Nothobranchius furzeri: one gene and its partner. The protein of the gene in region 1 binds, or shares a complex with, the protein of each later gene. Links are inferred from orthologs where the notes say so. Each region holds a gene or a part of one and is shown in the gene's direction. Other genes may lie near its edges.

Region 1 (15,990 bases):
CCTCCACCTCCGTTGGTGCGGAGACACACAACGCCATTATGCGTCGGCGCAAGGGCTCTCCGACGGGATCACAGAGGGTGATGGAGACACGCCCAAAATTTTAACCATCCGTCAAAAGTGAAGGAGACCGTGAGCTTGTGGCTGGTCAGGTCGCCGCTTCCTGTACATTAGTTACCAGCAACGCTGTAGCTCCGTTAAGAAGTAAACAGATATTTAGCAGCAAACCCAGAACAGATTGAAGAACGCACCGCGGAAAAAGTCCAAAAACATGAACGTTTCTTCACCCGTGAGTGAAGGAGTACAAAAAAACAGAGCAAACATGGACGGAAACGACGGGAAATGCGGGTTTGGAGGTGCATGAAGAGGTGAAGGAGAATAAAGGACTAATTTGTCCGCGATATAAAGTCTCTGAAAAATGTAAACACATTAGTGAATACACTATCATGCCCTATAGGTTATAAATTGTAAGTCGCTTTGGATAAAAGCATCTGCGAAATGAATAAACATGAACTATCGGGGACCAGATACATGAATGTTATCATGGCATGATACCACAGAACAGCGCTGCACCCTCTGTTGTCCTGGCGGTGAATTGCTTTGCAAGACTCTGCTGCCTGAACAGAGGTTTGCATGTAATAACCTTTCCAACACTTTCTGTGCATCTCTCTGTTGTGGAGCTCACGGAGAAGTATAAATCAGGCGTTAGTCTATGGGTGACGCCATATTAGACACCATGTTTTTTTTTCTACGGGAGCCCGTGAGGACAACAAGCATTAACTGATTTGTATCAAACTGTTACAAAACTTTTGCCATCATAAACTTTGTTTTACACATTGATCTCTTCACTCATTGCCAGTGATGAAAGGGAGTCTGAGGTTCTTGTTACTTTGCTGGAGGTTGTGCTCCCAGGGATGTTTGACCCTAAAGGCCCTCCGTTGGTAATGTCTTACTCAAACACAAAAATACCGCTTGCTTGCAGTGATTTAGGGATGTACTGCCCCCTGGTGCCAGGGAAACTACACACTGTCATTTCAAATTAAACAAAATGAACACAAAGTCCATTTATTAGAAAAGCAGATTAGAATAAAATTCTAACGGTCGATAAGTTATTCTTCAGGAGAGTTAATCCTTGTGTTAACCCTTTAAAGGCTGACAAATTGATCCATTTATTGGAAACGTTTAACGAGGAAATTATGTACAATATTAGAACAGTAAAGACTATTTGTTGGCACATTACTAAACCATTCCACAAGTAGAAAAATCAGTGGAGTGGAATTTTGACGAACAGAATAATCCTGTTAAATAGATAGAGGTCTAAGAAACCTGGGAATATTAAACAGGTAAGGGGTAAAGACCAAGCCCCACAATGCGGGACAGAAATTGAGGCCAACGCGGAAGTGACAAAAATTGCAGTTCCACCCTCATCCACTGGGGGCTGGTGTCAGAAGCGAGCAAATCCTCATTGACTCCCATGTTAAAAATACCAATTTCACAGCAGAAATAAACATGTTTACAGCCTGGTACCAAAACATGTTTTTGGTTTAAATGATCTAGTTTATAATCATGACAACTCTGAGGGGGGTGAATGTTTTTCTCACTCTTCTGTTTGTGTATTAAAAGCCTAAAATTCTGTATAATTAATGAGCATCAGACCCACGTGACCACAGAGCTAGCTCCGTGGAAAGGCCTCAGTAGAGCCTCAGTCTGAGCCTCGGCCTCGCCTGAAAACTGTTCCGCGATTTTTAGTCTCTGAACTTAGTTGTAGCGTTTTTGCGTTCATTTTTGGATATTATTTGTGCAATTGTTGGACAAAATGACTTGCTGTGGCATTAATTGCACTAAAAGAGCGTCCAAGGAGTCTCCACTTCATTTTTTTTTCGGTAAGTAAAATTATATTTATGTATTTTAGGTCACTGCCGAGCTGAGCTTAGATTTTAACATGTACTGTTTAACCATGAAATTTAAATGTAATAGGGTAAAACCCAGTGCATTTAACATAATGCTGCACTTTAGAAAATGGGTTGAAATATAACATGTTGGTGGAGCTGGGTTCCGACTATCGGTATGGTCCCCTCCCCGCAGCTCACCGCATCTCTGATCGCCGCGGCGCTCTTCTGCTGCGCGGCTGCTGGCTTGTGAAGCTCTCGGGAGACCTCTGTGTTCCACCCGGTTTTACCCAGCGGTCAGCCCGGCGTATCTCTGTCTGATCGCGGCTTCTGTTTGATGTGCGGGCCGCCGGCTTGTGGAGCTCTGGGATGGAAACCTTTCCACCCGGTTCTCCCCAGCGACAGCTCTACGCATCTCAGATCGCAGCGGCGCTTGTCTGCTGCGCGGGCTGCCAGCTTGTGCAGCTCTCGGGAGACGTCTGTGTTCCACCCGGTTTTACCCAGCGGTCAGCCCGGCGTATCTCTGACTCAGAAGCTCTGGTGTTGTGCACAGTTATCTCCGGTTGTAGCTAGGTTGCTACCTCCGTTAGCTTAGCTCCCACCTCCGCGTTAGCTTTGGGTTAGCTTCAGGTTAGCTTGTAGCTAGTTCGACCGGGTGTCGTCAGTTGATACCAGCCTTACAGCCCCACCCTCAGCTCCACCTCTCTTCCCTTTGTGGAATTGTCTGGGCTTGACGGAACCTGTGACACGGTCAAAATGGCGGTGGTGGCCACCTCCCATTTATCTTCAAAAATGTGTTATTGGAGGCTATGGAAACCCATTGTCCAATATTTCTATGTCGATGGTAAAGACTGATATTGTGCTGATGGTTGTAGATCAGAAACGTCACTTTTTTCTATAAACTAATAAAAATAAAAGAAAGAAATGCAAACTGATCAAAGATCTGCCAGACTTCCATAGTCACACCAGGTGTAAGAAAACAGCCATCAGCATTTGTTTTTCAGTTAAAGTATTACTGTTGCTAATTTTCATTTATCAGCAGATGAAAAACTACAACAAAGTTTTGACTTCCTGTTTCCTACATAGAGTGAACATGTTGTGATTTAAAGCTGTAAGGAAATAAGGAACGATAAGGCTTAGCTGAGAGCGGGAAGTATCTTAATACCTGAACATTTAAACTGCTGAAATATGTTTAAACAAGTTTGTTTTGATGTTCAGCATCCTAAAAGTAATCTGTTCTTTTTGATCTGAGCTCCAGGAATAAAATCACTCTTTGAAGACGTTTGAATAGCAAGCTCTAACAAACAGGCTGACCACAACAACAACAACAACAATAATAATTATTATTATCATTACTATAATAATAACAATATTAATATTAATATTAATAATAATAATTATTATTATTATTATTATTATTATTATTATTATTTCTTTGATAATACTGTTTTGTGAAAAGGCTTTAATCTGTAATCTTTCCTTTGGATGATTATGTAAATATTAAAACAGTAAAACATAAAAAACACTGATTATTACCACATATTTTATATATTTGTTTTCATGAATAAATTGTTTTATTCATTTGGCTGACAGTAAAGAACTTGTTCAAATGTTTTTGTTTATTTGTGCTTTATATTTTTAAGTTGTTCTTTCTTTTTATCTTCAATAATTCTCTTAAATTTGATTAAATTTGATTTTGTCATGACTCTGTTTCATACCATGATTTGTATTTTGGTGGTTTAAGGAATTAAAAAACTAGAAAAAAAAAACAACTCAAATTTTCATCCCAATAAACAAAGTAATTATATAAATCCTTGTACTGATGGGAATAGATAAACAGGACAATATTTTCTCATGAAATAAACTTTTCAGGTGCTTTCTGTTCATCACTCATGTATTTTAACTCCTCTGGTGTAAATCAGTTCCTATCTTTGGGATTTCCTACTTAAAAAGACTCTTTAGATGCTGCTGTGCAGCCTGATTTGTGGTCTGAATGAGAAACTCCATCCTTCCATTCATCATTCATGTTAAAGTGTCCACTTGCTCCCAATCCTGCAGCTCTCGCTGTCACCTGTCACAAATCCTCAGATAGGAACATTTCACACAGCTTTAGAACTATTTACATCCTTCGTTGCATCCAATGCACTCTGTGAGCAACTTGCTTTTTGACTTCCTTTGACACTCAATACTGGGTACATTAAGCCACAGAACTGTGGGGTTACTCTGTGCACGAGGTCCATTGGTTCCAGTAAGGTGCATCAGCTCAGCTCTCATTAGCAAGCATCACCATACGTAACTCGGGCACGTGTAATGCCATTAGAGGAGATTTGGCATCTGATAGAGGAGTAATGGGATTTTGTTGGGTAATAAATCTCCAGGAGCAGAACTGAAGGTCTTCCCCACTCAAAGAAAACCATTTTGAACTTGTGACCATTTTTTTCTGTTATCGTGGCTAAATGAATCAGATGTTTGAGGGCTGTGGTCCAAACTGATGAGGTTACGTGCAAAAATTTGGGATTTATTATTTATTTTAAATAAAAGATCACAAACTAATGTTGGTGCTTCTGGTTTGGAAAAACAAAAACAAAAGAAGCTTAGAAAATCCCTCAAAAGTAAGGCCAATAGATGGTGTAGAAGGTGACCATGCAGCTATAGTTAAAGCTAAAACTTCCTGTGACGCCATAAAAGCCTCTGAGGAGTGTAATCTGATTAAGGAGTGGTGACTGCAGCTGTGCTCCCAGTGTCTTGATGCATAATCAGTATTTTATAACTCCTTTGTAGCATCAGATAAATCAGAATCACCGTTAACATCTCCAGAAACAGAGCGGATGTGTTTCCCTGTTTCAGATATGTGCTCGGGGGGGGACCTCTGCACCCCTCGCCGGGCCTGTGCAACCCCTCCACCCATCCATCCCACTGGTTCTGATAGTGGGTCGTGTGTTTTTGCTGAAGATGAAAGCTCCAACATAGAACAGGTGACTCAGCTTCCAGTTTGGTGGAGAAATCCCCCGAGACCTTTGACCTCCTAATCGTTCAGCTGCGCTTATAGTAGGAGATCTGCTCCAGGCTATTAGAGAGATTAGTGCCACACAGATCTGGAACCAGGCCAAGCCGATACTTCATGGCATTCTCAACATTTATTACTTTGCTCCCAGCCGCATGTTGATACCTGATATGTGACCTTTTAGTAGCACATAGCCTGACGGTATACATGTCCTTGAAGGGAAATCAGATATATAGTTTGATCCTCAAAAACATCATTACAACAGGTTATAGAGCTGATCTGGTGTCTGATTCACACTCACATCATGTTGTTCGTGAGGTTTGTTTTATTATGGTAAAAAATTGCAAATAAACCATTTTAATTTACCATAGCTTAAATACAAATTATACAACTCATTGTTGGAATCCTTTTGTGACCATATAGAATAAGGATTTGATTATGATTTAGTCTGTGTTTTTTAAATAACCATTCTGACCACCCGTGTTTTTCATAACGGGACACTCTGGAGAGTAAAACAAGCAACCTTCCTGAACGAAAACAATCCCTAAGCTCGCAAAGCCGCTCTAGTAAACTGAGCAAAATCAGCAACCTTTCTACAGGATGTTTACATGTTTGACCTTCAAAATAAAGCTAAAATTGGTTATGACTTGATTTCCAACGGAAATTTCTCACGTCACAGCAGCAGCAAAAACACACACTGAATATAAATAGAGCTACAATAAAAACAACAGCTACGTTGTCATTTAAAAATGAAACAACAGTAGGAGGTTTTTACCTTTAGATTGTTTTTGACTTACCAACATTTAATACTCTCACCATCTAATAACGGATTTACTTTTTACACATTGACAAAGGCATTTACAACCATAAAAAGAAAAAACACTGACAAATTTTGATTGCCACTTTTAGATTTGAAATTATTTGTGGAAGATAAATAAACGATTAAATCAAATACATCACCTAATTGGCTTTAATTAACCCGACAAGCTGAAAGGGAAAAAAATACTAAAGGAACAACACTGATTTAATCCATTTGCTAGATGTTTTGTTGGTGTTGTTTCACAAATGATCCAGATTAAATGCTGAAAAGCAGAGTGCAACACCTTGCTGCTGCATGTTGGAAAATATTACCAGATCACGACAGCTAAATGTCAAAATGTAACTAAAAAAAAAATCACTCTGAAATGAAATCAAACTTCAACGTGAGTGTTTTATTTTGAAAACCTTTGCCGGAAGCCTGCCTTGCCAGCATTCCTGACCTGACAAGTTCCAGTGACGCCATCTTGAAATTGTCCCGACCAGTGGAGGAGACGGACTTGGAAAATCCTGCTCGTCCAGAACGCGGTACCAGTACGGCGCTCAAATGAATTGTTTCAGTTATTAAGGAGCGTTTTGACTTGATAACTCGAGTCACCGTGACCAGTCGCGGTTGTTTGAGTCACTTTGGAGCGGACTATCTCACCATCGGGAGCCGCGCTGCCGTCCTAGCTGGAGCGGACTGAGCTGTGTGGTTGTGGCCGGCCAGCCCCGCCGGACCGAGCGGACGTTTCCACACGGAATACCACGACAACAAACGCTTTAAACCTCCGCGTTCCTCGCTCAGAAGGTGTGGATGTGTATCTCTGAGACATTTTGACGTTTGAACAGCAATGCTAATGAGCTCACCGAGGAGAAGTTTGATTAGAGAGCGGAGTGCGCTTGATTTCAAGTCCGATGGATGTTAGCCCTGCTCGGCTGTGGCTCGGCTTTCTGCGCCGCTGTTCTGAAAATAACTTATCAGGCTCAAGTGATCTGTTCATAACAATGCTGCAGAGCTTGCAAGTACACGGCTGCCCTGGTGCCAACAAGTCGCCCTCCATTGCTTGTGTGTAAACCTGGAAATCTCCTCTTCATCCTGGTCCTTTTTTTTTGACTCCTAAGGCTTACATTACCTGGAATATTTTGGATTTGGACTTTTAATGATGCTTCTTTTCCAGAGACGGTGCTCCTTGAAGCAGCAAGACATTTAATGTAATCCAACTATTGTCTTTTTTGAGGTTTGTTTTGTTTGGAGTGCTTTTAAATCACCTTAACAGCGAGAGGATCAGATTCGGATGGAAAATGGGAGACGCTACAAAACTGGCCATCGCCGTTTTCCTCATCTCCTGCTCTTCAGGTGGGTGTGGAGGGGCTGTGCATGGTTCATTGTCAGCCGAGGGGAATCCAATGCAGTGCTCCTTGTTACCTCTGCAGAGTGCAATGCGCTGCATGTTCTTGTGTGCAAAGAATGCAATGTGTATTGCAATGCATCCCTGTGGGAAGGGTGGAAAGCAACTCACTTGCAGCCTCTCTTATTAGTGCCCTTTATTTGCTGCCTCCTTGTGTGATTGTGCATGTTGCATATTTAGTCCGCTCAAGATGGGGCCGCAGGCTCTCAAGGGGCCTTTGTGGAGCTCTGAGTGGAGCAGGCTTGTACAAATTGGGCTTTAGTTTAGGTTAATCGGAAAACTAGAGAGGACTTGTGTAGAGTAGGGGATTGTAGAGTAAATAATTGGATCAAAAGTCACGTCTTGACATCAGATGAGTGTGATTCGTAAGGAGACTGGATTTGTAGACTGGAAATGCAAGAAAACAAGATCAAAAGTTTGGGATTACTTCTGGTTTCCTGTTGAAAAGCACATGACATGAGTCTGAATGTAACTTGAACAACATGTGCTTTTTGCAGTAAAACACATTCCAACGTATTTTAGTAGAGATGCGCATGTTCTGGTATTGTGGGTTAGATTTCAGATTTGTGTACAGCTCTGACCAGCTGATACTGATTTATCTTGTAAATCTATAAATAAGCAATTGCCTGTTTTTGTTTCGTAAGGATGAGTTGTTTTTATGTTTAAATTGGTCAGTTTTCTTTTTAATTAGTGTATCGTAAGTTTAAGACACAAGTTGATGGTTTGCTCACACCAGTTATGTCTAAAACCTGATCAAACAGGGCACTGAGTTTCCTACACAAGAAAACACAACAAAGTTCATTGAGACACTGACTTGTTGTGTCAGAGACTTCACAGCAATCCTCATACCAAGCAAGCATGTAGCGACAGTGGAGAGGAAACTCCCTTTTATTATTATTTAATTATTAATATTATAAAAGGCTCAATAATATGCATTAGATTGATGTTTAGTTCCCTTTTTCCCGTCTGATATTTATAGTTAAAATATTTTTAAAAATTCGACCTACATTTCAGTAACATTTTAGGTTTGTATTAATAACACTCATCTTAGTCAAAATAACACAAATATATCCAGAAAAATATAATGCATTTCATTAACATGCATTTGTATTGTAAATGGTGATAACATTTAATTTCTGCTGCTAACAATGTAATGGTGGCATGTCTATTATGTACGGGTTGGCAATAATCCAGTTTAAATTATGTTAAAAGATGGAGATTTCTGTGAATTATATACTACAATGCATTGCCGTAGAATTGTAGCAGTAATGTGACTAATCTGCAGCGGTTCTGATCCGTAGCGCTGCAGGATGCAGAATAAACAAGATGGTGGGGACTTTTCATCCACTTGTATAGTTTAGTCTTTCCTAGTTTTACGATCATCATATATTTTTTTGTGCGCCACTTGATCGTGAGACTGCTACCCGTTAGCTTTAGCATTAGCCAATCTGCGTGTAGCGGCACTTTTGATCCCAACCTTTGGACCGGTTCTGCCTTTGCTGGTTCCTGTATTTTCCTCCACTGCATCCAGATGACCACACTGTGCGCCAGTAAAAAGCATTTTTCTTACATGTAACTTACTTTTGTTCAACAAAGTTCTGGGGAAAATAGTCATTTAAAGATGTTGCACCAGTGCTACGTCTAAAAATAGACAAGACACGCACAGTTTTTTCGTCGCTCTGTACAGCCCTGCTCTGATATGGAAGAGCCTGGGGGACAATCAGGACGTCAACAGCACCAACCATAGATATTTACCAACTAGCGAGAAAAGCAATTTTTGCTCTTTGTCTGCAGCGTTTTTTTTGGTGCACCGCTGCTGATACTGCGTCCCTGTAGTGGCGCAACGCTGCAACTGCAGTTAAAATAACACCCATATAGCTGGGGCGGCACAAAATTAGCTGGAGGCGGCCGCCACGCAAATTTGAATGCAGTAAAAACCTTGGTACTGTTGTTATGAAGAGCTTTGAAAAATGTCAAAATCTTTTAAAGTTTTACCCCAAAAACTTTTTCAGTAAAAAAAAAAATATATATATATTTTAAATTGGTAAATTTCCTAAACTAAATAAAATATCAAAAATCCATCCACATCGTTTGGTCATCCACTCGTCCTATCTTGTCAGGCAAAGTTTTTACTTAATTGAGTTTGACGGCCAAGAGGAGTTAACGAAAGTATGTTTGACATATTATGCAATTTTCTACCAATTTGCATACGTGTAAAACTTTTTTTAAATATTCGTCTAAATTTGATAGACTCAAAGAACACCCAGGATAACAAAATTTGTTTCTAAACTGAAGACATTTGGAGAAAACTACCAAAAGCATTTTTTGGGTACAACAGTGCCACCCAATGGACACATTTAAAAAAATATATGTGTTTGTAGATGACACTATTATGGATATGATCTGTTAAATTCTGTATAGAATATATATTTTTCATGAGTCAAAGGGCAAATTTTTTTTAAAGCCTATAAGCCACGCCCACTTTGTAATCATTTTTAGTATATGGCTTAAGGGTCCGATGATAAATATCTGTGCCAAGTTTTGTGGAAATCCATCAAGCCGTTTAGCTGGAAAAAACTTTTTGATTTCTTAGCACCCCCTATTGGTGAATTAGACCAAAATTAGGTACATATGGCTTACAGATCACACTTTGTAAGACTCTAGAGTTTCATCATTTGATCTTGAAAAATGTTGACAGTATCGTAATTTAGGGCATGTGCTAGCTAACGCACTGGATTTGACATTGTGTCATTAGCCCAATTTTCAATATTTCTGCAAATTTCTTCATAACAACAACTTCTCTCCATCAATAGATCAATGTACAAAGTTTCAGGTTGATTTGATGAAAAACAACGGATTAGTGATTAAAACTAGACTTCGTGTTTATTGCCATTTAGCAAAAATTTAGTTAGGCGGAAATGGGTGTGGCCAATACAAAAAAAATACAGAATCATCCAAGGATCAAGGATATTAAAACGCTTTTGAAGGTAAGACCTATGGTTTGGGAGTTATTTGCTAAAACGTATTGACCTTCACAATAGCGCCACCTAGGTTTTTCTAGGTATGAATTTTTGAATCAGAGTAGCAGCCAGGATTTTATATCAGACCGCCATGTTGGATTTTTCCTGGCTTTTTGTGGCTCATGTGTCCATATAGAGTTAGCGGAGAAGAATAAAAATGAAAAATCCGTAAAAAAAATCGGCACTAATTCGGACACTGACTACACTGCCATGTTGCATTTCTGTTTATCACGTTGGTCTAAAATGATCACGTGAGAGCCGCTTCACTTCTTTTTCATGATGCCCAAAACAAACTGAAATAAAACAACTATCATAAAAAAACGGCATTACTAAAAATTAATTACAACTGAAGACGCAAAGAGCAAGTTGCCTCAAGAGGTCGGAGGGACATGTAACAAAAATGGGGTTAACCTGATTGCGTATTTTGGCCGTGTTGTTTTGGTGATTTAGGTCTTTCGACCGGAAAGGCATATTTGGGTAATTTGCAGCCAAATATTTTTGGTGGCCAGTTTTCGATGCAGCCCGGGGAAATGTACAAAAATAAATAAGAAATCAGTGCATTTTAAACACACCTCCGATATGTGTCAGCAGCATTCTAACCAAAATACCACATTACAGACTTATTGTTTTCCACAAAAAACAAACAAAACATCCAAATAATCCAAACACATTAGGATTATTTATTATTAATATTTATATATTTATTATTAGTTTATTTTTTGTGACCTAAACACAACAACAGCTTGATTTCCATAGCAGAATTGAGATAAACTGGTTCTGCATTCACACATTGTAGTGGCAGTGAAGTAATTTCTAGCAAATATTTCAGTGACTCGTCCCCATTTCCATGATGGCAAGCATTTCATCTGTGTCAACAAGGTGATAAAAGGTCGGCCAGGAGGTGCTGTCTATGTGAACGTAGGTGGCGTGACCAGCGGATCTGCCTCTACTGGTTTGCACGCTAGATATTTGAGAGGAAATGCTTGTTGAAGCCTCTGTGCCAAGAGGAAATGAGTGTTTTTAAAAATTAATTTCCAGTGTGTTTTACAAAAGCCAAAGCTAAACCCCCGTGGTTTTGGCTAATCTGTCGTTCCTCGGAACCCGAACGGGGTGTGTTGACTTGTCTGACCTGGTCGGGTCGTCGAGTTGCCGACGGGAAGGTGCCAAATTTCATCCCGGTGATTTTAAACTTCCAGTTTTGATAGCAGCAGTTTGTGTTATCTGATGATTTGACTGGAGACAGGAATTGCCTAAGCAGAGATTGCAAAACAAAGATAAGGCCTGGGGGCCGATTTTCTCCGGTGGCTGTGTGCAGGAAAGCATTCAAGTTAAGTGGAGAATGACGTTTCAGTCAGATTTCTGTCTGCTCCACACCGGGGTTTGCATGTTTGTGCAAGAAAACAAAACTGGTTTATGAGCAGCCTGGAAGACATGGCGTAAGTGTCCAAGGAGAGGGAAAACTCGGTATAAAAGCTGCAGAAGGACGTGAAATACGCTCTGAAGTAGCAGTAGAATAGTTCCACTGTGAGCCCTGGAGTGTCTTTGAGCCTTTGGGTAAAAATGAAAAGGTTTCTCAAATTCGGTAATAGTCAGGGCGGCTCCGAGTGTGAGCCAGGTGCTGACTGTACTGCAGAGTGCAGCAGATGATTATCCTACTTGCTCATTACTGTCTGAAGTGGGGAAATGAATGGTTTCCACTTGAAGTAGAATAATAATTCACTGCAAAATCCAAGTTGAATTGGCTGAGTTTGTGATGACACCAAGAACCCTCTGATGAGGGCAGAGCACTTGGCCCAGGGAGGGTTTTTCTCAGGTGCTCTACTTCTGAGTGCAGCAAAAAAAAAAAAAAAAAATTATCACATATTCTGATGTTTACCTAAAAGATGGGTACTTTGTACACAGAAAATGCAAGTTTAGCCATTTTTTTTCTTTATTTAAAGTCAAAGTCTGTTGATAACAACCAGATTATGAAGTCATACAGCCTCTGAAATGCAAACATTACATTTTTTTTTACTTTTATTGTGAGGCAAAATAGGGAAAAATAAGCTAAACTTTTTTTTTATTTACAGCGGAGCTCTTCTAATCATGAATATTTAATAATTTACAACATATTTTTACACAGTTCACTGAGAAATTAATATTCTTAAAGGGACATTATGGAAGTTTGACAGCAAAAACATGTATAGAAATAAAACATTTTCTCCACTTATGTGGTTATGATTTAAGGCTGTTGCTGTAATTGGGAAGTGAACTGTGCTGGGCCAAACTAGGAGGACATTAAGATTTTCTGAGGGAAAGAGAAAAACAATTGTCTACCTTTCAGAAGAGGAACTGGTAAAAAACTACATGGAAAATATGTGAAAACGTTTGTTTTTAACCCCAAATTGAACAAGTTTACCTAGATCTTAAAAAGCAGCTCAGATGATGAAACTGCAACTATGATTCTGATAACAAGCTAACAAATTGAACTAGCTCCTCTCAGATAACCGGCTAGCAGAGCTTCTGACTGACAGTTTATGTGCAGCAGCAAATCAACTATCCTGATTAACAAGTTTATAAAAGCTCATAAATGAAAAATCACTTTGATGTGTGGGGGAACTTTTCACGTTTAAAAGCAGCGCTGATTCCAGAAACCTCAGCACAAAGTGCGTTCGTTGCTCTGAGCCAGCATGACGAACAAGGGAACGGCGCCGCTTAAACTCAGTTCGGGTGTTGCTTTCCATAAGGGTCTACGTAGGGGCGGGCGTATTACGTGAACGGACCCATCTGATTGGCCGCATATCAGAAGGACTACATTTGATTAGTCAAATAATACTTCCGCGTAAAAACAGCTGGTTTACAAAAAGTTGATGTATGACACAGATGGAAATGTTTGAACCAAACATTTATCGCCATTTTTGACGTGCTTTGCGATGGGCCTATCGCACGTCCTGTTATCCCGATGACGATAATTTTTTGATATATTGTGCAACCCTAGCAGGATGCAATAAATCATCAGTGTTGGTAATGTTATAGCAAATACGTTATATTTGTGTTGGAGGTAATAAAATCACCACTACTATTGTTTAGGGCTGCCACGATTAGTCGACGCGTCATGACATCGTCGGCAAAAAAAATAGTTGACACAGTTTATTGTATGAGCATGTTTAAAATCTCGCCTGCTGCGGCACATTCGGCATTTGCTTCCTGCCTCTCTGCTCACTAGTCGCCGTCCGTGTCAGCCGCGGCTTACATATGTCGAGGCACATGCGCAGTAGTGCCACTCCAGCTCAGTGTTTGGATCAGAATCACCGGAGAAATAACTCATCATAGCGAGTCGGCAACGGAGCTCAAAGGTTGAGAAGCATTTTATTAAAACAACTGAGAAGAAGTAGAGTTCAGACTCATTTCACGGGAGCACATCGGCGATGCACGAGCATTTTAAAAGCAAGTACGTGACTGCGGAGATCGTAGAGTCGCCTCTGTAAGTTTACCTCTTGTTAGCTGCTAGCATCATAGGTGTAGCAACAACTGTAGTGTTGGCGATTACATGTTTAGAACACGTATGTATGTCACGTATTCTCTCTAATGTTACAAACGCTGATGATTTATTTTATCTCGCTACGTTACAGAGCTAAAAGAGAGCGCTCTTGTTCTACAATAGGGCTGCAACTAACGACTAATTTAAAAGTCGACCAGTCACCGACTATTGAAACGATTAGTCGACTAATTGGATAATTATAAAATTTTTCTTAAATTTAGCATGAGATTGCTTTAATTATGTGAAAAATGATAATAAACACAAGAAAGATGGGTACTTCAATGGAAAATGCATATTTTATTGAACTTTTCTGCTGATAGGCCGATTCATACTAAAAGAAAATAAAAATGACCCTGTCTAACACCAATTAGGCACAGTGCTCAGTCAGTATAGACATAAATGCATAAATAAAATTAAAATATTTTTGTCAGGCACAGTCCCACATAACATTAAATCCCTCTTTTTTTTAAATAACGAAAATATGTTTAAAAATGTACAATGTACATCCAAAACAAAACATGGTTGCTTTTGTGATATTTAAATCTTACTGAGTTGAGTCAGACTCTGTTTCGTTCAACTGTCCGACGTGCTTTCTCTTTAAGTGTTCATGCATCACAGAGGTGCTGCCATGATGTGCAAGGACTGCTTTGCAAATAATACAGGTAGTCTTTTTATTCGCCGAATCCAGGCTAGAATGCTCCCAAACTTTTGATGTTTTGGTATGCGTAGCTGCTGTTTTGGACGCCGCCATTTCTGTTAGTTGGCGCTCAACAGAGAAGCTATATTGCGCATGTGCGACTCTCGGCAGAGATTGTAATGAAGTGAGATGCCTCACTCGGTCGGAAAAAACACGTCTGGTGACAATTGCTATTGTCGACAACATCGCCGAATCGTTGCAGCCCTATCTGCCGCTAAATATCTTTTTGTTTTTTGAAGCGACAAAGACGATGCTGTTGATGAATTTACAGAAAGCTGTGTCCTAATCACAAGCTTGCCATTTCCGTCTGTTCTGAAGGAAATAAAAAAAATTTGGGCATGTCTCCGTCACCCACGTTATGTGTCTCAGTCCCGACGCGGACAGAGAAGTCTAAACTAGGCTTGACACAGCTGGTCATTACTGCACATGTGCCTTGAGCAGAAAGCAGCAGAACGTACCGCAGCAGGCAAGATCAAAAGACAGCAATGCTTCATAGAATAAACAACGTTGATTATTAAATTAATTATCAACAATTTAGTTTGTTGACGTCATCGTCACAAATCAGCACTACACCGAATTGAGACAAAACTTCCTTCAAAGACCTTTCACAGTGACAGACCGGAAAAACGTGCATCAACTTCAATTAATAGCTTTTAAAGTTTGTTGAAACAACGTAAAGACAGATTATATGCTGGGTCCATCATGTTTTCATCCAGAAGACTAGAATCATTTGTTTTACAGCAGGTGCAGCATTGCTGAAGAGAAGAAGGGGGTTACTTCTAGTAATAAAAATATAAAAAAAAGGTCCACACTGGATTGTGTCTGTTTCCCATAACAGATCAGGGGTCCAGGATTGGCTCCAGCTTTACTGGTTACGGGCGTCTTTGTGATCTTTCTGCTCCTTCAAAACAGAAAGGCCCGTTTAAGTTTCGAGGAACTGATAATCTGGTGTTGACATTAGATCTGTTTGATAGGCCACCTCTGCCTCAGATTCTACGTGAGGTCCGACTGCAAACGGGTAAATATTTACAGTGCACACTTGTCAGTACCGTCACATTCAGAAAGCTGAGAGAAACTCTGCTCATTCGGTTTCCTATGAGATGTTTATGCTAACTTTGTTCCATAAACTAGCAGTAAAGCCATGCCTGTCAAACGACCAACTGACTACCAGTTAAAGTTGAAACAGCAAACTGAAGTATTTTCTTTCCAGCTGTTTTGTTTTGTTCTGTATTTGTGTACGAGAGTCCGATGGTTCAGATTCTGATCGCCGTCTTTCCGTTTGGCCTCCTGTTTTGTACACTGCAGCAGTTTCACACAGGCATTGATCCTCTTGCACGCCGGTGTAAAGTTACATCGACGTGGTGAGAGCAGCTCTGCTTTTTTTCATATAACCAATATTATTATTTTACAAATCTCTGCAGCACAACTGATCTGGTGGGTTCACTTCTTCTCTGCTGCGCTGCAAACCTAACCTGAAAAGTGATCTCAGTTGCGCTTCATTAAAGCTGCTATAGCAAATTTGGAAAACAAAGTAGCCTAAACATTTTTCATGCCTCTAAACAACGTTCTAACATAGTATAGCTATAAATATACTGCAGAGATTAAAAAAAAATGAAAAAGACTAATGAAGTAGTTCTCTCACATTTGTCTCCACCA
Region 2 (16,055 bases), on another chromosome or scaffold:
GTAATCAGCAGGTGCTTTTGTCCTGCAGGACCTGAAGGCCAACGAGTCCCGCCTGAGGGACATCAACAAGGTGGCATCTGAACTGGAGTCAGAAGGTCTGATGGCTGAGGAGGCTCCTATGGTTCAGGCTCAGGTGAGCGTCACCTGTCTGCAGCAGCTGGTCCCTCTCACTTCCTGGTTTAACTCTGCTCGTCTCTGTTTGTAGCAACAAAAACATCTGGGTTCTGCTCCTGGAAAGGTGCATGTTGTCCTCCGCCTCCACCAGAACCAGACGTGGTGTTTATGTTACCACTCATTTGTTTGTTTGTTTGTTTACAGGATGAAGCCGACTCTAACACGGCGTCACCCTGGAAGGTGAGTTCATTCAGCTGATCAGAGGTCACCTCTGATGGCAGCAGTCACGGCCGACCGTGCTGACATCACACAGGAATTCAGGTGACCCGGCAGGCACCAGGTGCTGGTGAAAGTGGGGACATGTCAGCTGGTTGCCATGGCTACAGTTATCTTTATGCATCTGTATGACTGCTGACTGGTGTGTGTTTCCTGTGACCTTTGACCTCAGACCGTACGGTTGGGCGTTCAGACGACGGCTAACTTTAATTCCATCAAGGTAAGAGGAAGCTCTTCCCTTCCTGTCTGAGCGATCCGTCTCCAGGTTTCTTCGTCCGGCGTCCAGCCCGCTGGCGTCCACCTTCATCTCACCTTCATCTCATCTCACTTCATTTATAGTGCAATACTTTCACATTATCATTTTCCCACACTTCTGTATACCTGTATTTTGTTGTTTTTCAATAAAGAATGACAAATTATTTAAGTTTGGTTTTTGTTGCACACAAATATATATCTGTAAAAAATATCTACAAAGCTAATGTTTACATAACAAGTATGATTGGGTTTTGCAATACGGCACTCAAGTTTATTTTAGTAAGATTTTCAAACCAAGTAAAGTTAGTAAAGAACACATTTCTATTGTCTGCTAAGAAACTGTTGGGATTTAAAATGGGCCTGTTGTACAAATAACTTGTAAATGATTATTCCTCACTTTTGTCTTAACCAAAGAAATTCCAGTAATTGAGCAAAAACATTTATTTTTAACACTACAGTTTATAAAACAGGGCGCAAAGTGTCGGCACATGTATGTATGTCGATGGTCCGCCCCAACCAAACCAAGAGACACAGACGTCAGGGAGGCCAAGGTTGTCTCTGCAGCTCTCTGGGCACCACGCCTCACTCAGCTGTCTCCAATGATCCAAATGGCTATGGAGGAAAAAATAACAGGTTTGGCCTAGCTGTTTAAAGTACAAAACCATTCATGAAGTGGTCAAGACAAGTACTTGGTACTTACACTTGCTGCTTTGTGTAGCTGACGTTGGAGACACACAGGCTGCCATGGTGACCTTTTAATAGATCTAAGAAAAAAATGTAATAAAAGAATGAAACTTAAAAACTCCCAGACCTCATGTCATATTTACTAATCAGCTATGGCTGATTTGTTTGGATCACAGTGAGTTACACTAATTCTAATATATTTTTATTTCTATTATACATACATACTTTTTAACTGTTATTTTCACATGACTGTTATCAGGCTCTCTTGTTCTGGTTCTGATGATAACTCTGTCTTCCAGTAAGTTATCTTGTGCTTACTTCATCTGTAGAATGTCTCTTTACTTTTGGTAAATTGTACTGAGTCCAGAATAAAGGCTAGTTGGCTGTACAAGATACAAACAAGTATTACGTTTTGGAAATATATGAAACACCGCCAGCATCTGTTAGAGCCTGTGGCGGGGTGCTGAGGGCCGGCTCCAGCCCAGGAATGAGCTCTACACGCCGGCCGGGAGGGTTTCAAACACCGCCATCCTCTCCTCTGCTGGCTGTTCATTCTGTTGTGGTTACCGGTGCTTGTGTTGCAATGTGAAACGCTTGGTCTCAGATTTTGTAAGAAAGATAATAAAATATCCCCCCAAAATACGACTTAAATATATTTTCTCTTCTTCATGATACATTTAATGGCTGGTGCGACTCAGGAGTGATAGCGCCAAAAAAAAAACTACTGAAAACTTGCTCAAAGCAAAATGTTTTCATTACGGAAATAAATTATAAACTTACCGATTTAAAACTTTTTTAATACAGGTACTTCTCACGAACAGGTGCAGAAAACCTCCACCTAAACTCCGTGTAAGGTTCAGGTCGATGGGTGTTCCAGTTAGCTCCGGTTGGGTTGAAGCTAGGTGGCTACATCCGTTAGCTCGGCTCCCACCTCCGCTTTAGCTTTGGGTTAGCCAGGGTTAGCTTCAGGTTAGCTCGTAGCTAGTTCGCCTGGGTGTCGTCACTCGAGCCCAGCCTTACAGCCACACCCTCAGCGCCTCCTCTCTTCCCTTTTATAGAATTGTCTGGGCTGGACGGAACCTGTGACACGGTCAAAATGGCGGTGGTGTCCACCTCCCATTATAGACAACAAACGTGTTATTGAAGCCAATGGAATCCGTTTGTCCAGTATTTACAGTCTATGGTGATGACCTATGGAAAAAGTTCTGGCCATCTTAAACCCTAATAATATGTGGAGTTGTTGTTTCTTAACTAGCTGAATTTGCATTTGAATCATGTTCCTCCCTAACCCATGATAAATGGGTACCGATGCTCTGGCACAGCGCGTCGCCTCCGCCTCCCGAGGCGCAGGGGCTCATCACCTGCTGTCTTTTCCGAGGACTGCATTGTTACGACCTCAACCTGGTCTAGGAGGCAGGGAGGCCCAACACAGGAACGTGAGAATTTAAAAGGAAATGATCTGACACCAAGTCACAATCAAAGAAAGTCCTTTTATTAACTAAAAGCGTCCCAAAGGGAGAAAAACCTGTTTAATTAAAAGGGGAGTTTAACTTATGCTGCAGGAGACAAATGCTGAGGGCTTAAAGTAACTTAAAGAGCCATAAAATGAGAATGGAAACTCACTGGTTCTGAAAATGAACCAGGAACAGAAGCTTGCCCGGAGGCCTTACCAAAAGGTCCACTGGTGAACCAACTCACCCACACTACCGACAGCTCAATCAAGAGCAAGAGAAAACCCAGTCTTAACCCGAGGGTTTTCTCATGCGGGTTGAAATTAACCATCCGGGGCAACTATGGGTTCCCAAAAGTTCTCACACACAAAGTCCTCTCCAAATCCTCCTCTCCAGTCCTCTCAATCCGTCTCTCCCTCAGTCCTCTCCTTCAGCCTTCTTTCAGTCCTCTCCATCCTCTCTGTCCTCCTCGTCATGCAGTGCAGCGCTGATTTTATCTGCTCCAGCCGGGGGATTTTCTGATGCGCATCAGCTGCGCGAGTGTGGCCGGGTGCTCTCCAGGGTGCTGACCATGGTGCTGAAAAGGAGCGGAGTAGAAGCCGGGCGCTGGGGAACTCAGGGATCGTAACATGCATCTTGTCAGTCATTATCACGTGACAGTGACTAGTCGATGACAGGCATAAAAAGTCACTACAGAGCCGTTAACTTATTTATATGTTTATAGCATCTTGACCAACTCCACAGAGGATAGAAGATAACATACATGCTTACTCCCAACATCTGTTCAGGTCAAAACATGTTATATTCAATTCAAGTTCAATTCAAGTTTATTTATATAGCGCCAAATCACGACAAGAGTCGTCTCAAGGCACTTCACATAATAAGCATTCCAATTCAGGTCAGTTCATTAAGCCAATCAGAAATGTTTCCTATATAAGGAACCCAGCAAATTGCATCAAGTCACTGACTAGTGTGAGTGACTTTACAGCAATCCTCATACTAAGCAAGCATAAAGTGACAGTGGAGAGGAAAACTCCCTTTTAACAGGAAGAAACCTCCAGAGAATCCTGGCTCAGTATAAGCAGCCATCCTCCACGACTCACTGGGGATCGAGAAGACAGAGCAGGCACACACACACACACATACACACACACACACACACACACACACACACACACACACACACACACACACATACACACACACACACACACACACACACACACAGACAAAGTAATGTGTCTATAGTTATATTGTGATGCCATAGTAAATATTCTATTTGGTGAGAGATAAACTTTATTGTATTTATCCTATTGGATCTATAATTAAATGGATGAACTAGTAGTAGCACATCCAACATCAAGGAAAGAAAAAAGTTATTATCAGGAGAGGGAGAATGTTTTAGTGGTTAGCAGCAGTGTGCTAGATGGTGGCCCCCTCCATGAGGCCACCACAGCTCAGCAGAACATCATTGTAGCTTCTTCTGGGGAGAAAAACACTTAGAGAGAAAATAAAGTTAACAGCTGAAATTGCAGAAAATAATACAGTTAAAGAGCAGATTGTAGAAGAAAGCAGTAGAGTATGAAAAGTGGTCAGTGTATCCTCCAGCAGTCTAAGCCTATAGCAGCATAACTACAGAGATAACTCAGGATAATCTATCCTATTTAGATGGAGGCATGTTGGAGGCAGGGCAAGGGAGAGCCGTCTTTACCGACTGTACACTCCACCTCCCTCTACTCCCCCACTTGTCCAGATCTAGGCTAACATCAGATTTTAACCATAGGCCCTATCAAATAAAAATGTTTAAAGCCTATTCTTAAAAGTAGACAAAGTGTCTGCCTCACAGACTAAGGCTGGGAGCTGGTTCCAGGAGCCTGATAACTAAAAGATCTGCCTCCCATTCTAATTTTAGATATTCTGGGAACCACCAGTAGACCTGCAGTCTGAGAGCGAAGTGCTCAGTTAGGAACATATGGATCAATCAGATCACTGATGTATGATGGAGCTTGATTATTGAGAGCTTTATATGTGAGAAGAAGGATCTTAAAATCTATTCTGAATTTAACAGGTAGCCAATGTAGGGAAGCTAAGACAGGAGAGATATGATCTCTCTTTTAATTCTCATCAGAACTCTAGCTGCAGCATTTTGGATAAGCTGAAGACTTTTAACTACATTCTGTGGACTTCCTGAGAGTAATGAATTACAGTAATCCAGTCTTGATGTAATAAATGCATGAACTAGTTTTTCAGCATCACTCCTGGAAAGGATGCTTCTAATCTTAGCAATATTCCGAAGGTGGAAAAAGAAAATCCTACAAACCTGTTTAACCTGGGATTTGAATGACATGTCCTGGTCAAAGATAACACCAAGGTTCCTTGTAATGTGTTCCTTGTAATAATGTAATGCCATTCAGGTCAGGTGATTGGCTAAGCAATTTCCTTTTCTGGATTTCTGGTCCAAAGATGAGAACTTCCGTACTGTCTTGATTTAAAAGCAAAAAGTTTAGAGTCATCCAATTTTTTATGTCCTCAAGACAAGCCTGTAATCTATCCAACCGATTAGGTTCATCAGGGTTAATGGATAACTATAACTGAGTATCGTCAGCATAACAGTGGAAGTTTATCCCATGCTGTCTAATGATTTTACCAATTGGGAGCATATATATAGTAAAAAGAATTGGTCCAAGCACTGAACCCTGTGGTACTCCACAAGTAACCCTGGAGTATGAAGACGATTTGTCATGTACATTTACAAAATGAAATCTGTCAGACAGGTAGGATTTAAACCAGCCTAGCGCTGTTCCTATGATCCCTACAACATGTTCAAGTCTTTCTAAAAGAACATTGTGATCAACTGTGTTATATCCACAACAAGAATCGTTTGACCATATCAGCAGAGTGAAGGCATGTCCCTAATTTACGACATCACAGTTCAGAGGGCTAGAAGGCTGCCTGGACACACACACACACACACACACACACACACACACACACACACACACACAAACATGATAAGGGAAGGTAACAGGCCTTTAGCTTGGTTTCACACACACAGATTGAGGTGTAATCCAGACCTGTTGATTATAAAAATCAGGTCTGGAATTAACCCAATTCAGCACACTAAAACCCTTTTCCTTTCAGCCACTAAAAGTGACACAGTTTATAGTTCAAATTATATTAGTCACCAGATACCAGGAATTAAATATTTCGGTCGCACCTAACCTTTTGATACATGAATTATGAAATCTTCAGCCATGATTATCTAACAATTATTCTCATTCATCTTTGGGTGTGAATGAAACAAATTTCAACAAATGCTGTATTGTTTGTAACATTTAATAATTTGCAATTAATTTACTACATGTTCACCTCAGTGGACAGCGTGTATTCTGAACATGAAATATGTTGGCTGGACTTACTGAAGTAAAAATGGAGGGGCTCAAATGCAATAACGTAGAAACTGTCTATTGTAGTGACCATTTCGCATCAAGGAGTTAATTTTTTATCTTTATGTTCTAGTTAAGTAGCCTCAGGCCTCAACTGATTTGACCTTGGTGGCTCAGACAGAACACAGCAGCCTTCTGCATTTCTGAGGCAGGCTGTGCTGGAGGGTGATAGAATGGTATCTCATCTTGTGGCACTTGATGGGTTGTTCCGGCAGTTACGGGCTATATGTCCCCTCTTATGGCAGTTCCAGCAAATAACATCTCTGCCGTTTTGTAATTTTCTTCCTTGGCCCCTCCGCCTAGGGTTACGTCTGCCTTTTGTTGCAGAACCTGCATATGATACAGTGCCATCTGAGCTAAAGAATGTGTACAAACTTGTCTCACCAAATCTCTCAGAACTTGAGTAAATCGTGGATCCCCCCGATGTCAAGATCCTCACACTGACCCCCAGCGAAAGCACGGCGCCGGAGGAGATTTAGGTTGTCGCCAGTTTTCATGATCAAGAACTAATAAACATACATTTTTCCATAACAGAAGGTCCTTGAGACGACTCTGGTCCTGACTTGGCGCTGTATAAATAAACTGAATTGAAATGGATCAAAAGGAAAAGGTGTTTATTGCCTGGAGACGTCATCATGGTTATGGACTCCACAACACCTAAGGGCTCTTGGATACTTGGAAGAGGTATAAAATCTTTCCCAGATAAGAAGGGTCTGGTCCGTGTTGTTTGTCTTCAAACAAAACCCAATGTGACAGAAAGACTTAGAAAGTACGTCTGTTATGTGAAGCAACTAAAGAACCAAATACTAGTAAAATAATGAGTACATGAACCTTGGTTTACCCTTTCAAGCATACTGATAATGTGTTAGCGTCTTATTTTGGCTGCTTGTTTGTTAACTGCTACCTGTGTGTCCTCCTGTCACACGCAACTAGGACCCGATGTGTAGGGTTAGGGTCGGAGAACCACCTCTGCTTCATGCCTCTTAGCAACATTCTAGCAAAGTATAGCTATAAATACATTGTGTAGATTTAAAAAATGAATAAAACGGTTCTCTTGCATTTGTCTACGAACCTCCATCAGTTACACATTTTGGACCGAAACAACCAAACTAGCACAGGCCAAACTGAACGAGAGCTCTGAGCTCAGGTGCTGAGGATGCTGTAACTCCTGCGTGTCAGCAGCAGGGGGCGAGCTAATGTCAGACGGACTCATTCCATCTGCTACTGATACAGCAAACTCATCTTCTATCTATAACTTCACACCAACGAGGTTCTCCTCCACGTGAGGTGACGAAGATGCTGCTCTGATTCATGTGTGTGTGGTATGAATGAATCAGGGACAGTCTTCCTCCTCTTTCCTCCTCCTCTTCTGTCGTGACGTTTAATCAGGAGGAAACACCACAAACAGTCCTGAGATATTCTGGGTGATTTTACCCACAGCAAGAGTTCCTGTGTGTGTGTGTGTGTGTGTGTGTGTGTGTGTGTGTGTGTGTGTGTGTGTGTGTGTGTGTGTGTGTGTGTGTGTGTGTGTGTGTGTGTGTGTGTGTGTGTGTGTGTGTGTGTGTGTGTGTGTGTGTGTGTGTGTGACTCAGAAGGAAACCCCTCTGTGGACACAGGGAGGGATTACACAGCCTCAGAGGTATAACTACTGTCAGGGAGCAGAGAGGGAGACTACAGTGACCCGGTTCTGCTTACTGCAGCAGAACTTCCGGACCAACAAGTACCAGGACATCACAGGACCAGAGAGCTTCTGGACTAAACAAATCAGCAGCAGACCATCAGAACCACCTCTGCTCCTTAAACAGAATCCACCTCTAAATGGACCCAGGCCTGAACTGAAGGTTGCTTTTGAGCCCGTCTGCTCAGACTTCTAGACACTCTGTGGGACCTTCACCATCACAGAACATTATGTGTTCTTGGGTCTCCGTGTTCTTCTGGGCGCTGGTCTTCCTTCTCATGGATGCCTCTCCAACTGTCTCTACATCGTTGGACGTGTCACAGCAGCTCCAGAAGGGAGCAGCCAACTCTGCCTGTCCATCTTGCTTTCTGTCCCAGATAAAGACCAACTCCTCCTGGTCAGGAGGTCAGAGCGGCATGGTGGAGGCGGTGAAGCGTCACATCCTCAACATGCTGCACCTGAGCGCTCGGCCCAACCTGACACAGCCAGTTCCTCGAGCAGCTCTTCTCAACGCCATCAAGAAGCTGCATGTTGGTCGAGTGTCTGAAGATGGCAGCGTGGAGATCCAGGAGGACAGCTCAAGTCCCACATACTCAGCACCACCTGAACCACCATCAGAAATCATCACCTTTGGAGAGCCAGGTGAGCTCAGAAGTTCACAAAAGGTGGGGTTTGGATTTATCAGCTGGAGTCCAGGTCCAGGTCCCAGCATCTCAATGGGACAGGCAGACCATCAAACATCTGTGGCAGCAGGATGTGTGGACAGAAGGTTCCCTCACATTAGGACAAGTCCTCCACAGCTCAGAGGACATGTTGGACCTGAACCTGGTCTCTGATTGGCGATGTCTGAGTGTCTCTTGGGTAGCAGCAGCTCAGGAGGTAGACTTCTAGTAGAGAGTCACATTCTAGTTACTGGTGCTCTAGTCACATTCTAGCTACTGGTGTTCTAGTCACGATCTAGTTAATGGTGTTTTAGTCACATTCTAGTTACTGGTGTTCTAGTCGAGTTCTAGTTACTGGTGTTCTAGTCAGGTTCTAGTTACTGGTGCTCTAGTCAAATTCTAGCTACTGGTGTTCTAGTCACGATCTAGTTACTGGTGTTTTAGTCACATTCTAGTTACTGTGTTCTAGTCGAGTTCTAGTTACTGGTGTTCTAGTCAGGTTCTAGTTACTGGTGCTCTAGTCAAATTCTAGCTACTGGTGTTCTAGTCATGATCTAGTTACTGGTGTTTTAGTCACGTTCTTGTTACTGTGTTCTAGTCGAGTTCTAGTTACTAGTGTTATAGTCAGGTTCTAGTTACTGGTGCTCTAGTTACATTCTAGCTACAGGTGTTCTAGTCACGATCTAGTTACTGGTGTTTTAGTCACGTTCTAGTTACTGGTGTTCTAGTCGAGTTCTAGTTACTGGTGTTCTAGTCAGGTTCTAGTTACTGGTACTCTACTCACATTCTAACTGGTGTTCTAGTCACAATCTAGTTACTGGTGTTTTAGTCACGTTCTAGTTACTGGTGTTCTAGTCAAGTTCTAGTTACTGGTGTTCCAGTCAGGTTCTAGTTACTGGTGCTCTAGTGACATTCTATCTACTGGTAATCTAGTCACAATCTAGTTACTGGTGTTTTAGTCACGTTCTAGTTACTGGTGTTCTAGTCGAGTTCTAGTTAATGGTGTTCTAGTTAGGTTCTAGTTACTGGTGTTCTAGTCAGGTTCTAGTTACTGGTGTTCCAGCCATGTTCGAGTTACTGGTGTTTTAGTCACGTTCTAGTTACTGGTGTTCTAGTCGAGTTCTAGTTACTGGTGTTCTAGTCAGGTTCTAGTTACTGGTGCTCTAGTCAAATTCTAGCTACTGGTGTTCTAGTCACGATCTAGTTACTGTGTTCTAGTCGAGTTCTAGTTACTAGTGTTATAGTCAGGTTCTAGTTACTGGTGCTCTAGTCACATTCTAGCTACAGGTGTTCTAGTCACGATCTAGTTACTGGTGTTTTAGTCACGTTCTAGTTACTGGTGTTCTAGTCGAGTTCTAGTTACTGGTGTTCTAGTCAGGTTCTAGTTACTGGTGCTCTAGTCACATTCTAACTGGTGTTCTAGTCACAATCTAGTTACTGGTGTTTTAGTCACGTTCCAGTTACTGGTGTTCTAGTCGAGTTCTAGTTACTGGTGTTCTAGTCAGGTTCTAGTTACTGGTGCTCTAGTGAAATTCTATCTACTGGTAATCTAGTCACGATCTAGTTACTGGTGTTTTAGTCACGTTCTAGTTACTGGTGTTCTAGTCGAGTTCTAGTTAATGGTGTTCTAGTCAGGTTCTACTTACTGGTGTTCCAGCCATGTTCGAGTTACTGGTGTTTTAGTCACGTTCTAGTTACTGGTGTTCTAGTCAGGTTCTAGTTACTGGTGTTCTAGTCAGGTTTTAGTTACTGGTGTTCTAGTCGAGTTCTAGTTACTGGTGTTCTAGTCAAGTTCTAGTTACTGGTGTTCTAGTCAAGTTCTACTTACTGGTGTTTTAGTCACGTTCTAGTTACTGGTGTTCTAGCCATATTCTAGTTACTGTTGCTTTAGTCAGGTTCTAGTTACTGGTGTTCTAGTCAGGTTCTAGTTACTGGTGTTCCAGACACGTTCTAGTTACTGGTGCTCTAGCCACATTCTAGTTACTGGTGTTTCAGTCACGTTCTAGTTACTGATGTTCTAGTCAGGTTCTAGTTACTGGTGTTCTAGTAAGTTTTTAGTTACTGGTGTTCTAGTTACTGGTGTTCTATTCAGGTTCTAGTTACTGGTGTTCTATTCAGGTTCTAGTTACTGGTGTTCTAGTCATGTTCTAGTTACTGATGTTCTATTCACGTTCTAGTTACTGATGTTCTAGTCACGTTCTAGTTACTGGTGTTTTAATCGCGTTCTACTTACTGGTGTTCCAGTCAGGATCTAGTTACTGGTGTTCTAGTCAGGTTCTAGTTTCTGGTGTTCTAGTCACGTTCTAGTTACTGGTGTTTTAGTCAGGTTCTAATTACTGATGTTTTAGTCAGGTTCTAGTTACTGGTGTTCTGTTCAGGATCTAGTTACTGGTGTTCTAGTCATGTTCTAGTTATTGGTGTTCTAGTCACGTTCTAGTTACTGGTGTTGTAGTCTGGTTCTAGTCACTGGTGTTCTGGTTACTGGTGTTCTTATCAGGTTCTAGTTCCTGGTGTTTTAGTGACGTTCTAGTTACTGGTGTTTTAGTTATGTTCTATTTACTGGTGTTCTAGTCAGGTTCTAGTTGCTGGTGTTCTAGTCAGGCTCTAGTCACGTTCTAGTTACTGGTGTACTAGTCACTAAAGTTCTAGTCACGTTCTAGTTACTGGTGTTAAATCACATTCTAGTTACTGGTGTTCTAGTCAGGTTCTAGTTCCTTGTGTTTTAGTCATGCTCAAGTTACTGGTGTTCTAGTCAGGTTCTAGTTAATGGTGTTCTAGTCAGGTTCTAGTTACTGGTGTTCTAGTCACGTTCTAGTTACTGGTGTTCTAGTCAGGATCTAGTTACTGGTGTTCTAGTTACTGATATTCTAGTCACATTCTAGTTACTGGTTTTCTAGTCAGGTTCTAGTTACTGGTGTTCTATTCACGTTCTAGTTGCTGGTGTTCTAGTCACATTCTAGTTACTGGTGTTCTAGTCATGTTCTAGTTACTGGTGTTCTAGTGAAGTTCTGGTTACTGGTGTTCTAGTCACATTCCAGTTACTGGTGTTCTAGTCACATTCTAGTCACTGGTGTTTTAGTCAGGTTCTAGTTACTGGTGTTCTAGTCACGTTCTAGTTACTGGTGTTCTAGTCAGGTTCTAGTTATTGGTGTTCTAGTTACTGGTGTTGTAGTCAGGTTCTAGTTACTGGTGTTCTAGTCACTAGAGTTCTAGTCATGTTCTCATTACTAGTGTTCTAGTCACGTTCTAGTTACTGGTGTACTAGTCACTAGGCTTCTTGTTACGTTCTAGTTACTGGTGTTCTAGTCACATTCTAGTTAATGCTGTTCTAGTCAGGGTCTAGTTACTGGTGTTCTATTCAGGTTCTAGTTACTGGTGTCTTAGTCACGTTCTAGTTACTGGTGTTCTAGTCAGGCTATAGTTACTGGTGTTCTAGTCAGGTTCTAGTTACTGGCATTCTAGTCAGGTTCTAGTTACTGGTGTTCTAGTCACATTCTAGTTACTGGTGTTCAAGTCAGGTTCTAGTTACTGGTGTTCTAGTTACTGATATTCAGTCGCATTCTAGTTACTGGTTTTCTAGTCAGGTTCCAATTACTGGTGTTCTAGTCACGTTCCAGTTACTGGTTTTCTAGTCACGTTCTAGTTACCGGTGTTTTAGTCATGTTCTAGTTACTGGTGTTCTAGTCATGTTCTAGTTACTGGTGTACTAGTCACTAGGCTTCTTGTTACGTTCTAGTTACTGGTGTTCTAGTCACATTCTAGTTAATGCTGTTCTAGTCAGTTTCTAGTTACTGGTGTTCTAGTCACGTTCATTACTGGTATTCTAGTCACGTTCCAGTGACTGGTGTTCTAGTCATGTTCTAGTTACTGGTGTTTTAGTCACATTCTAGTTACTGGTGTTCTTGTCACATTCTAGTCACCGGTGTTCTAGCCACATTCTAATTACTGGTGTTCTAGTCACGTTTTAGTTACATTCTAGTTACTGTTGTTCTAGTCAGATGTAGTTACTGGTGTTCTAGTTACTGGTGTTCTAGTCAGGTTCTAGTTACTGGTGTTCCAGTTAGGTTCTAGTTAATGGTGTTCTAATCATGTTCTAGTTACTGGTTTTAGTCATGTTCTAGTTAATGGTGTTCCAATCATGTTCTAGTTAATGGTGTTCCAGTCATGTTCTAGTTACTGGTGTTTTAGTCATGTTCTAGTTACTGGTGTTCTATTCAAGTTCTAGTTGCTGGTGTTCTAGTCACATTCTAGTTACTGGTGTTCTAGTGAGGTTCTAGTTACTGGTGTTCTACTCAGGTTCTAGTTACTGGTTTTCTAGTCAAATTCTTGTTACTGATGTTCTAGTAACTGGTATACTAGTCAACAGTGTTCTAGTCACAATCTAGTTACTGGTGTTCTAGTCACATTCTAGTTACATTCTAGTTACTGTTGTTCTAGTCAGGTTCTAGTTACTGGTGTTGTAGTCAGGTTCCAGTAACTGGTGTTCTAGTCATGTTCTAGTTACTGGTGTTTTAGTCAGGTTCTAGTTACTGGTGTTGTAGTCAGGTTCCAGTAACTGGTGTTCTAGTCATGTTCTAGTTACTGGTGTTCTATTCAAGTTCTAGTTGCTGGTGTTCTAGTCACATTATAGTTACTGGTGTTCTAGTGAGGTTCTAGTTACTGGTGTTCTAATCACATTCGTTAATGGTATTCTATTCACGCTCCAGTTACTGGTGTTCTAGTCACGTTCTAGATACTGGTGTTCTAGTCACATTCTAGTTACTGGTGTTCTTGACACATTCTAGTTACTGGTGTTCTACTCAGGTTCTAGTTACTGGTTTTCTAGTCACATTCTTGTTACTGATGTTCTAGTTACTGGTATACTAGTCAACAGTGTTCTAGTCACAATCTAGTTACTGGTGTTCTAGTCACGTTTTAGTTACATTCTAGTTACTGTTGTTCTAGTCAGGTTCTAGTTACTGGTGTTGTAGTCAGGTTCCAGTAACTGGTGTTCTAGTCAGGTTCTAGTTACTGGTGTTCTAGTCAGGTTCTAGTTACTGTTGTTCTAATCATGTTCTAGTTACTGGTGTTTTAGTCATGTTCTAGTTACTGGTGTTCAAGTTACTGGTGTTCTAGTAACTTATGTTTAGTAACTGATGTTCTAGTTACTGGTGGTCTAGTAACTGATGTTCTAGTTACTGGTGGTCTAGTAACTAATATTCTAGTTACTGGTGTTCAAGTAACTGATGTTCTAGTAAATGATGTTCTAGTTACTGGTGTTCTAGTAACTGATGTTCTAGTTACTGATGTTCTAGTAAATGATGTTCTAGTTACTGGCATTCTAGTTACTGATGTTCTAGTTACTGATGTTGTAGTTACTGATGTTCTACTTCCTGGTGTTCTAGTTACCGGTGTTGTAGTTACTGATGTTCTACTTCCTGGTGTTCTAGTTACTGGTGTTGTAGTTACTGGTGTTCTACTTCTTGGTGTTCTAGTTACTGATGTTCTAGTTACTGATGTTGTAGTTACTGATGTTCTATTTCCTGGTGTTCTAGTTACCGGTGTTGTAGTTACTGGTGTTCTAATCAAATTCTAATTACTGATGTTCAATTCAGGGTTTAGTTACTGATATTCTAGTCAGTCATGCTCAGGTCAGACAGGTTCCATTTCTGTTCCCAATCTGTATGCAGATGGGAGAAAGTTTGTGTGAGAGTGAAACAGTCATGTACTTCCCAATTTACTGACAGAAATGTTCCTATTGATGTTCTATTAATAGTCATCCTTATCCTAAGAAATGTGTCATTAATCAGCTCTTCAGAGGGTTGTCAGAATTAACGAGCAGTGGGGGTGGGGGTGGGGGGGGGGCATTCCGTGTGGCCTCAGGCCGTGACTAAATTCTGTATTCATGCAAATCTGGGCCTCAGTAATTATTGCGGAACAGGGGTGGTTGGGGGGGGGGGGGGGGCTCTTTTTTTAGTTTCTGTTTTCATCAAATTTATTTAGAGGCTCCATTCATTCATTAATAGTCATTGTTTAAATACAGTGTGTGTGTGTGTGTGTGTGTGTGTGTGTGTGTGTGTGTGTGTGTGTGTGTGTGTGTGTGTGTGTGTGTGTGTGTATGATTATGTGTGTATATGTATGTGTTTGTGTGCATGCGTTTGTATGTGTATGTGTGTGCATGTGTTTGTATGTGTATGTGTATGCATGTGTGTGTGTGTGTGTGTGTGTGTGTGTGTGTGTGTGTGTGTGTGTGTGTGTGTGTGTGGTCTGTTGGTTGTTTTTCTGTTTAACACAAACACAAAATAACCTAGGGGAAAAATGTTTTGCTGCATCTCGTTTTACAGACTGTTTCAACATGTTTTTCTTCACAGGGCCCTCACCGAACTCTGTGACTTTTGACCTTCTTAAGGACACTGGCTCTGCTCTGGTGGAACAAGCTAATGTTTGGATCTTCCTGAAGATGTCAAGAGTAGATGGGGTCAAGGGAAAAGTGATGTTGCGGCTGCTGCGGACTCCTGATAATGGAGATCCTGATGACGAGTGTGTTTCAGAGAAGATGGTGGATGCTCGTCGCAGTGGCTGGCATATGCTTGCTATGACTCACAGCATTCAGTCTCTGCTGGACAGAGGCAGCAGCTCCCTCAACCTTCGAGTTTCTTGTCTGCTTTGTTCCAAGGTTGGAGCTTTGCCCATCCTCGTACCAGTGGGGCGGGATCAGTCTCATCGCCCATTCCTCATGGTGAAGCTAAGAGCCGAAGAGGAAGAGTCTCTGAGGCGAGTCAAACGAGGTCTGGAGTGCAACGGGAAGATCCACATCTGCTGCAAACGACAGTTTTATGTGAACTTTAAAGATATTGGTTGGAACGATTGGATTATTGCTCCATCTGGTTACCATGCCAACTACTGTGAGGGTGACTGTCCAAACCACATGGCCAGCATCGGCACCTCCACGCTCTCCTTCCATTCAGCAGTGATCAACCACTACCGCATGAGGGGCTACGGCCCGTTCCAGAACACCAAGTCCTGCTGTGTGCCAACGAGGCTCCGCGCCATGTCCATGCTCTACTACAACGAGGAGCAGAAGATCATCAAGAAGGATGTTCAGAACATGATCGTAGAGGAGTGTGGCTGCTCCTAGAATGTTCCTCTGAAAACTTGAGCAGAAATAAAAGCTTCCCCAGGTCCCGAGTTTGGACTGCAGAGATGCTTCTCCACATTGGAATGAGCAACATGAGCAGCAGGACCTGCTATCAAACTGTCTCTGACATATCAAAATGGATGAAATCCCACCATCTCCAACTCAACCTCTCTAAAACTGAACTACTTGTCATCCCAGCAAAACCGTACAGCACAATATCTCAATCCAGAATGACTTCCTATCTCTGGCTCCTTCAAAGGCAGTTCGAAATCTGGGTGTTGTGATTGATGAACACCTGATCTTTAAAGATCATATTGCCTCTGTTGCCCGTTCATGCCGCTTTGCGCTGTACAACATACGAAAGATCAGACC

What was found.
Region 2: the proteins of activin receptor type-2A (region 1) and inhbab are in contact, whole or in part, in a crystal structure (PDB 7U5P), measured with the Homo sapiens proteins. The link is inferred for Nothobranchius furzeri from reciprocal best matches to the Homo sapiens genes ACVR2A and INHBA. Residues at the interface, in NP_001265508.1 of Homo sapiens: Asn36, Asp53, Lys56, Phe61, Thr63, Lys65, Val74, Lys75, Cys78, Trp79, Leu80, Asp81, Asp82, Ile83, Asn84, Val100, Phe102; in NP_002183.1 of Homo sapiens: Ile340, Ala341, Pro342, His346, Arg397, Pro398, Met399, Ser400, Met401, Leu402, Tyr404, Asn409, Ile410, Ile411, Lys412, Asp414, Glu421.

What each region holds. Positions count from the first base shown.
Region 1 is NC_091743.1:85,749,354-85,765,343, forward strand, and holds the start of activin receptor type-2A, read left to right. Parts: upstream 1-6,760; 5' UTR 6,761-6,990; coding exon 6,991-7,045; intron 7,046-15,990. UniProt on the Homo sapiens protein: On ligand binding, forms a receptor complex consisting of two type II and two type I transmembrane serine/threonine kinases.
Region 2 is NC_091751.1:34,011,039-34,027,093, reverse strand, and holds inhbab (inhibin subunit beta Ab), read left to right. Parts: upstream 1-7,955; 5' UTR 7,956-8,134; coding exon 8,135-8,546; intron 8,547-14,916; coding exon 14,917-15,683; 3' UTR 15,684-15,886; downstream 15,887-16,055. Other genes in the region: spectrin alpha chain, non-erythrocytic 1-like, read left to right, coding at 29-133, 206-238, 319-354, 563-640. UniProt on the Homo sapiens protein: Inhibins/activins are involved in regulating a number of diverse functions such as hypothalamic and pituitary hormone secretion, gonadal hormone secretion, germ cell development and maturation, erythroid differentiation, insulin secretion, nerve cell survival, embryonic axial development or bone growth, depending on their subunit composition.